2 linked regions of the Mus musculus genome follow. The protein of the gene in region 1 interacts with the protein of each later gene in a pairwise test. Links are inferred from orthologs where the notes say so. Each region holds a gene or a part of one and is shown in the gene's direction. Other genes may lie near its edges.

The links.
Region 2: the proteins of Rhoa (region 1) and Ripor2 interact in binary tests that used the Homo sapiens proteins (3 or more experiments, as listed by UniProt). The link is inferred for Mus musculus from reciprocal best matches to the Homo sapiens genes RHOA and RIPOR2.

The regions. Positions count from the first base shown.
Region 1 is NC_000075.6:108,304,802-108,308,959, forward strand, and holds the start of Rhoa (transforming protein RhoA precursor), read left to right. Parts: upstream 1-1,358; 5' UTR 1,359-1,752; intron 1,753-1,995; exon of another isoform or gene 1,996-2,275; intron 2,276-4,158. Other genes in the region: Tcta (T-cell leukemia translocation-altered gene protein homolog), read right to left, coding at 525-627, 921-1,143. UniProt on the Homo sapiens protein: Small GTPase which cycles between an active GTP-bound and an inactive GDP-bound state.
Region 2 is NC_000079.6:24,636,921-24,641,736, forward strand, and holds the start of Ripor2 (rho family-interacting cell polarization regulator 2), read left to right. Parts: upstream 1-1,727; 5' UTR 1,728-1,967; coding exon 1,968-2,016; intron 2,017-2,157; exon of another isoform or gene 2,158-2,314; intron 2,315-4,816. UniProt on the Homo sapiens protein: Acts as an inhibitor of the small GTPase RHOA and plays several roles in the regulation of myoblast and hair cell differentiation, lymphocyte T proliferation and neutrophil polarization.

The DNA.
Region 1 (4,158 bases):
CTCCCAAGTGCTCAGATTAAAGGTGTGCGCCACCACTGCCTGGCAGAGTCTGAGTTGTCCTTGTTTTCTGGTGTACTGTGACCTCTGCCGTGTGGTAGAAGCTCAGAGATTAGCTGAATGAAATGTCCTGATAAGTAAGCTGTTGTTTTTAGAGATTAGGAGGTTGACTTGATGAGGTCGTATGCTAAGAATAGAGACTGTTAGGCTGGGGGTTATAGCTCCAGTGGTACAGTACTTGCCTAGAATAGATGTTCTTGCCTTCCTAAAGAAAGACTTCCCAACCAAGGGATTTGTTTTCAATAGACCTGGCACATCACCTTTCTGAAATTAAGGTAACACCACCATCCATCCCCACTGAACATGCTGATGAGAGGCTCTAAAGCCACTGGGAACCCCCAACTGGAATCCTGAGCTCTACCATTAGCCTTGAAGGATTCTTGCACAGCCACTAAGCTGGTGCACTCACATGCTGAGAGTTCTCTGCCTGTCAAGCATGGGGTTGGGATAGACAGAGATTTACTCACCATGAAGAGAAATGTGTGGAGCCATCAGGTGTGGATCCATTCTGGCCACCCAGACCTGGAGGCAGGAACACACCCATAGCTGCAGGAGGCTGAGGGTGGGGATCTGAGCAGGCAATAGCCCAGGTCAGGTCAGGGGCCACTGGTATAGTTTAATAGAGATTGAGGCTGGGATACTAGGGACTAGTGGTATTGTCCAGGAAGGGTTTTGAGAAACAGTTAACAACGTGATGATGGGCATGAGGGGCTTGTGGTGTAAAATGGTACGGGGTTGTAAGTCTGGGTACAGTGAGGCTCCTGGAGGACCAGTGGTAGTCTATGTGGACACAGGAGAACCCAATGGTACAGTATGGTGGTGGTAGGGACAGCCGGGCCAAGGAGGTTCGTAGGGAGCCTCACCTGGACGGTGATACAACCCGGTCACTGTGTTCCCGTAGAACCCCCAGGCCAGCTGGATGCCCAGGAGACTTAACACCAACCACAGCAGGAGCAGCTTGAAGAGAGTCACTCGCATGTCTTGTGTCTCCCACTCCCGCAGAAAGTCGCTGCCCAGGGTGCCCAGCGCTCCGAGCACCGTGGCGGGCAAAGCTTGCAGAAACTGCCCGGCCCAAGGCTCCGCCATGACTGGCCAGCGCCCCACCGGGAGTACTGTCACCGTAGTTCTTACTGCGCAAGCGTATGGTCTTCCGGGGTTAGGCCTGTCAGTGCGCACGCGTAATACAAGGCAAGGAAGATCTACTTCGCTTGCGCGAAGTGTTGGCAGTTTGGGGAGGGGTTTTTAAAACCGCGCAGGCGCACCCAGCCCCACCCTGCTTGCTTAAAGGATGAGTGATTCGGTGAGGATAAAATAGCAACTCGCTCTTTTATAGCCCCGGTGTTCCCGTCATGCTCCACGCGTCTGCCATGATTGGTTAAGCGTCTAGCTCTCAGGGCGTGGATGCGTTCTTGAGCAATCGTGGCTGAACTGAGAGTGTGCGCGCGTGCGCGGGGCCGCGACTGGCGCCAGCTCGAGCCCGCAGGGCGCTCGGGGCCGCGCACGTCGCTCCCCGCCCTCCCGCCACCGCCCGCCCTCGTTCGCTCGCGCTCCCCGCCCGCCGCCCGCGGTCCTCCGTCGGTTCTCTCCATAGCCCGCCGTCTCCCACGGAGCTGCCCGTCCTTGGCTCGGAGCTCGCGGACTCGCGGACAAGCGTCCTCAGCGCGAAGAGGCCGGACTCGGAGTCCTCGCCTTGAGGTGAGCAGGAGCATTTCCCTCCAGCCGCCTCGGCTCCGGGCCCGGCTGGTCGGCTGATCGGCAAGCACTTTTCCGGCCTCCGGCCCGTCGCCTGCCCGCGGTCGCGCCCCACCTGCTGCTCTCGGCCCGCAGCCCCTCGCCCCGGCCCCTGACCTGGGGCCCCGCGCCCGAGGCGGCGGCCCCGCCCGCGCAGTCCCCGGAAGCGCGCCCCGCCGCCTCCAGTCCCCCTTCCCCCGCCCGGCCGGGCCTGGTGGAGCCCTAGCCGCCCGCCCTCCTCGTCGCTTCCTCTCAGGGTTGCGCCGGGCTGGGCGGGGGCTCCCGGCCGGTCCGCGACCGCGCTGGGGTAGCCTGCCACTGCGAAGCGCGTGTGGCTGTCGGGAGTTGGACTAGGCAAGAAACTCTTTTACAACTCCATTTTGCCTTTTGCATTGAACGTGGATTATTAATCCCGTTCTATACCGGGTGAAGACAGTGAGGGTTTGGGTGGATTTTCTGTTTTGAGTGCCGTATTATTGGAGATTGTGTAAGTAAAAGATTGTTTTGAAATCTTAGCGGTTATGACTCTATGGGGGAAGGTATTTTCCAGTCGAAAAAACACATAATAATTTGGCGAGGTTGCATCAAAATAGATGCATTTCTGCTTAAAGTTATTACTTCAATTAAGAATCACTGATGGGTTCCCCTTTTCAGGTCGGTTTCGTAAAATTGCATTTTTTGCAGGCAAGTTGATTTAAAAAAAAAAAAGTTCATGTTTAGTAGCTGATAGTGGAAAATTTGACACCATTTTTTTTCTTTTTTGCCCCAGAATTGGTTCTACTTGTATTTTCTAATAGTCATCACTAAATTTTGACCTATTAGTTATTTATTTGGTTTTGTCTTCTGGTATATTTTGAAATAAGTGCTTTTTGCATGTTATATATAACATTATATATGTATAATATGTAGTACACGTATAATGTACATCCCCCATGCCAGTCTGAAAGGGGAAAACTTATATTTTAGGATGCGGTATGTGGTGAGAATTTTTAGCCACTTAGTGTCACGTGCCCAAATGTGTATGTACCATGTGGAATGTTTTTTTCACCTTTCATTGGCTAGTTTGAGCATTTGACTCACGTATTATTAAACTAAGAAAACAAGATCAGGTCTTAATATTGAAGACTCTGAGATGTTGTTTGGAGTATTTCTCCGGAGCAGTGACGTTTCTTAGGGACATAAAATATATGGAGCTTGTTTTTTTCCTATTTTATTTTCCTCTTTGGTGTTGGCTTGGGACACAGTGAACAGGTGCTGTATCTCTGAGCTGCATTTCAGCCTTACAACTTGGGATCAAACTCTAGTGCTCAACTTACATAGCTTCTACTCAAAAATCTACTGAACAGGAGAATAGGAACATCCACTCTACTGATTGTACCCCCAATAGATGTAGTATTTTAGACTGGGGAGGAAAAAAAAAACTTTAGGATTTACAAACCAATTCCGTTTGTAGGTGTGGGAACTGAGCTTAGGGAATTTTTTTCTCTTTCCTTCTGTGTGTGTGTGTGTGTGTGTGTGTGTGTCTGTCTGTCTGTCTCTCTCTCTCTTTCTTGAGAAAGGCTTATTACTCCGCAGAGAGAACAGTGGGTGTGATAATACCAGAAGAACCACTGACCTAAGACTTAATTTAAAAAAAAAAAAAAAGACACTGGGTCTGACCTGAGACCTGGAACTTAATTTGTAGATAAAGCTGGTCTCTAATTTCCACATGCTCCTAGTGCTGCCTCCGGAACAGTGCTGGGATCACTGGGTGTGTGCCACCATTCCTGCTGAGACTTAAAATGTTTGAAGGTCATACATCTAGTTAGACTACAACTATTTTTTTTTCTGTTATTCTCCATGTGCTGTCAGTTAAAATCAGAATTTCCAGGTTACTTCAGGTTCTTTACCATGCAGATTATGCATATTTGGGAAACAAATTTCATGTTTTTGTAAGTAGTTCCTTTCTGGCTAGGCCTTGCCTTTGAGTGTGTTGGTTTTCTTAAGGACCGGGTTTTGAGAGTTTACTGTTAGCAAAGATAAGGTAATGAGGTCCAGCTAGAATGTTTTCAAGACTCCTTTGAGTCAGTTTTAAATGGAATTGGTGAGAATTTGCATGTATCAAGTAGACCATGGTCTGTACATGTGTGAGAGTGGTTTTGTTGGAGTGATTTCATAGTCCTTTAAAAAGTCCATCTTGCTCTATTAGGGGTGTAAGTAAGTTACTAGAAGAGTGAAAACAGATCTTCAGAGCTGGGTGTGGTGGCACACGCCTTTAATCCCAGCAGGCGGATTTCTGAGTTCGAGGCCAGCCTGGTCTACAAAGTGAGTTCCAGGACAACGAGGGCTGCACAGAGAAACCCTGTCTCGGGAATAAAAAACAAAAACAGA
Region 2 (4,816 bases), on another chromosome or scaffold:
GGGTTGTTTTTTTTTTTTTTAAGGCCACTGTTTCTGCAATGTAGATAGACTATTGTCTATCACTGCCTAAGAAATCAACATACAGTCATTTAAAAGAACACACAGCATTAACTCACAATTTCCACTCGTCAGGAATCCAAGCCCGGCTTTGCTGTGTCCTCCAAAGGATGGGTGTGCCATGAAGAATGTCTCCCCACAAGCCATGTCTCTTTTTTGCATGAGCATCTAAAGTCGATGAGGCTGGGTCATCTTGGACAAGTTAGGCTAACTCTCTGTAACCTTAGTTTGCCTGCCTATAAAGTGGGAATCAAAATACTGAAAGGTTACAGCCAGGTGTAAACAGTCTAATGTCAGGGGATAAGAAGATCGCCATAAACTTACGTTTAGTTCTGTACGGATTGATGCATTAGGGACTTGCTTGTTGAGCAGAACACCCATGAGGAAACACACAGAGAGCTTGCTTGCCCTCTGTGTGCTAAGCTGTCACATGTGTAGTCGTAGTCGACGCTTTCCTCCTAGGAAGGAATGTCCACATGGGAAGGTGGCTTCCTGATGGGGAGTGTGTTGAGTTGAGAGAAGGGCATTGGAGAATGCAGCTGGCAAGGGTAGCCTGTCTGAGCTCCTCTCAAGCCATGGCCTCGTGGTCCAGGTGAGAGGCCTGTACAGTGCTCCTCCTTGGGTGATCCCTGAAGTCTGGCTGTATCCTTAGGTGGGGTGTGATTCAGCTGCTTGCGTTTTCCAGGTCTAAGGATGTCCAGGTTTCCTGATGCTGCCATAGACTCCTCTCCTAGCCTTTGTTGGTCAAGGTTTATACTTCTTGATTCTAATGTCCTCATAAAGTGACTAGGTCTCAGCTTGGAATGTGATGGATGAATTTGTGGGACACTTTGATTTTACATATTGTAAATACACAATTGTATGAGTAAGACAGTTTCCCTGAGGAGGAAACTGAGGCCTGGAAGACTGCCAACCTAAGGATGGACGCAGAGTCCACTCTTGGGCTCCAGGTCCTTAGAATACCCAACCTCATACTCTTCACTCACACACATATAATAGCCTAGTTACCAATGCTGACCTGGGATTTACTATATATAACCCAGGCTGGCATCGAACTTACAGCAGCCTTCCTGCCTTAGCCTCTTGAATGCCACCACACTCAGCTTCTAAAGGTCCTTTTTCTATGGAATGTTTCTGTCTGTCAGACCCACCTACATTTTATAGCCTTATGTATAATTCAAATTCACACCAAAAGAGAGGTTTCAAAGTCAAACAAAAGTCTTGCTTCTCCCTATCATAGTGAAACCTCTGTCGAAACAAGCCCTGGGTACTTGTACCCAGAGGCCCTCTCCAACCGGGCTTTTCAACATAACTCCTGCCTTGAGCCTTGAACTTCACTCTTCACCACTGCACACAACCCTCCCCCATCTCATCATTTGCAATGCACGGCCCTTTTTGAGATCCCCAAAGGCTGGCTGCACAGGCACTCTTGTCTCAGCTGAGATCTCCTCTAATGCTCCGTGTCCGGCTGGTCTCAACTCCCCTGCGGCGGAGTCCTTCTAAGCTGCGCCACAAGCTAGTGTCCCAGAGCCTGACGTGCAGGCAGACGATCAGCTGGAGGCAAGCACCCAAGCGCACCCTGAAGGAGTCGGGCTGAAGGGACCATCAAGCAGCTGTCTCCACCCGCCCTCCTCCCTCGCCCCCCCCCCACCGGTGACGCGCCAGCCCCCGCGTGCGCGCCTCCCCACCGCCCTCTCCGCTACCGCGCTCGCTCCGCTCTCTGCCACCCGCGCGTCCTCTGGCCCCGCAACTTCACCCGGCGCGGCGGCAGCTGGTGCGACGCCCGAGCGCTGGGGCCACGACTGTTACCCTCGGACCTTTCCCTGTTGGCTGGGAGGAACGAGCACCGGTGTCCGCGGAGCCGGAGGTGCACGGCAGCGAGGGGCGGTGCGTGGGTGCCGAGGTGGTACATGCCACCCGGTACTAAGCGTCTCCGGGCACTAGGAGCGTTCTCGGCAGGTAGGTGCACGCGCCTCTTAAACACATTCTCTGCGGCTGATTTTGGTTTCCACCGGCATGAGGTGGGTGTATGGAGGAGTGTCCTGGGCTTGAATGAGCCTGGCATATTAAGAAGAACCCTTGGGTGTCCGGGCTTCCTAGGTCCTGGCGAATCCGGGGAGCCTGATGTGGGCTGGGACGAGAAGGGAAGTTATTAAGGAAGAGGGGCCGTGCACTTAGCGCAGGCCGACCCAAAGGATGTCCCGCACTGTGGAAGGACCGATTGAGAAGGCTAGAGAAGCCTGTGGCACTACCTAAGGTAGGGGCTTGTCAGGGACAGGGGATCCCGCGGGTGGGATCGTGGATGAACCCTGGCTTCCGAAAGACTTCCGGGCACCCAGCAGCGATGGGTGATCCAGCTCAGAGGGAGGATCGCAATTTCCAAGGGCTTCATGTGCCTCCAGACTGAGCAATTGAGCTTGGCTGGGACCCAGCTGTTCCAAATTGGCCACGTGAAACCGGTGAGAATGGGGAAGAGGGCAAGCCAAAAGAAATGTGTTGTTTTTGATGCCAACCTGTGTTTGGAAAGACTGGGGTACGGGGTCACACTTGGGGAACACTCTAACCCTAGCAGGTGTCTGTGATATTGAACGTGCGCGGGGGGTGGGGGGGGGGTTCTGTAGTTCTCCCTCAGGCTATTTATTACCTCATAGCTCCCTCCCACAGTTTCCTGGATAGGGATGCAGACCCCTCGCTGTAGAAGAGGGCGGGCGTTGGAATTCGCTAAGCAGAGCCATTCAGGTGCGAGAATGACAGGACTGTGGACAGTCACAGCTCCTGAGTGAGAAAACAAGACGAAATCCTAGAGAAGCTAGCAATGTTTTTTGGGGAGTGGGGGTGGGGCAGAGTGGGATCCACAGCCCATAGGCTCTGGTCTGGGGGACACCTATATGTTGCATGAGTGACTGTGAAGAAATGTCAACACTTCAGCTGGGGGAACAATGTGATTGTCTTTAAAGCACACACACACACACACACACACACACAAGCTGCCTTTCCTCTCAGCTCCCCTTGCAAATATGAGCACCCGCCCATTGTTTCCTGACACAGTCATTTCTTCCTTCTTCTGTTTCGTTGTTTTTGATGTTAGTTGGTTGGATGGTTTTGTTTTGTTTTGGGAGAGTTTTCTGGGTCAGGTTTGCCTCGCTCCTCCTTCCCACCCTCACCCAGTATTCCTACTAGCCTACTTCTCTTAGAGCAGGCTCTGAGAGTCCCATTCATAAGGTTTAGCTCCACTAGAGCCTTCTATCTGCTGTTACAGCAAGAGAGGTCAGGGCACAACTCCTGCAAAGAACCAGCACCCTCAATCCAATCTCCAGCAGTTACCTGTAAAGTAGGCACCCTCGCTTTGCGGCAATAAATCTTAGGGCAGGGAGGGGGGTGTCTACTCAGTCCAACCTCCAACAACATCAGAGCTCCTGCTGACGTCCCAAGAGTGGAGATCCAGCCACAAGGTGGCCTTTGCCCTAGAAGTTAATGCGTTTGCCTGTCTAAAAGCTGACTGCACCCAACCATCTGAAAAAGAACATTGGAGAATATGTTTAGTCAAAACATAGCACATGTGTTGCTTTTCCAAAAGCCCCCTGATGGGTGTTGTTGCTCTCTTCCTCTGACACTCTGATGTGAGATGTTTTCACTAGGAATATTTTGTCCTCAATATAAATATAGAGACTGCCAAACCCGAGAGAGGGAAGGCTGTTAGCCCGGCCAGAGGCCTTGCCCGGAAGCCTGATTACCAAAACACAGGTTCTCTGACTCCTTTCCTTTTGTTGATTAGCAGAGAAGCAGAGAAGGGACTTGTCTGCTTTCAGGAGTGAATGCCCCAAGGAGGAGGTTTTTATGCCTATTGTTTGGATCTGGGGAACTACACCTATATAAGTGTCCAGGCTTTGGAATGGGGTCATGATAGGCGTGCTGACTAAATCTTCTGTCACTAACAAGAAACTATCCCCACCAGGATAGACCCTAGGACTCAGCTACATTATTAACCATGTGCCTCCTTCTAAATGAACCCAACCACTTCTGTTATTCTTTGTCCCTCCCTCCCTTCCTGCCCCTCCTCCATTCTGTGTGAATGTGTGTGTGAGTGTGAGTGTGTGTGGGTGTGTGTGTTCAGGTGTCTTCTTCTGTCAGTCTTCACCTTATTATTTAAGACAGTCTCACTGAACCTGAAGCTCATCAATTCAGCAAGATTAAGTGGCTGAGAGCTCTAGGGACTTCCCACTCGCTGCTTTCTTGGCCCTAAGATTGCAGGTATGCACTGCCATGTCCAGCTTTTTACGTGGGTACTGGGCATCAAATTGAGGTCCCCATGCTTGTGTGACAAGTACTTTACTAAATGAGCCATCTTCCCAGTCCCTCTTGTTACATTTTGAGCTCATTTTATTACACCCCACTTCTGTTAAGAGGACCCAAACAGAGAAGGGTAGCTATAGAGAGTAGACAATATACCCTTCAGATTTCATAGTTAATGATCAGAGCTTTCTTACAATGGTCCTTTGGGGTTAAAGAGTTTACAAACAAGTGCTCTATTCTAACATCAGTGCATTCAAGGGCTGGAAAAAAATTAAAATGCAGTTTTATTTTTATTCTGAAAAGAAGCAACAAGTCTGAAACCAGCCTCTTGCTTTCCTTGAGAGGAAGTAGGAGTGGAAGTGAAAGTCATTTAATCTGCACAATGGATGATCCCCAGGCAATGGCAGACTTGGCTTTCCATCTGGGCTTCCCTTGCCTGGTTCTGAGCAGGGGCTTCATGCTTGCA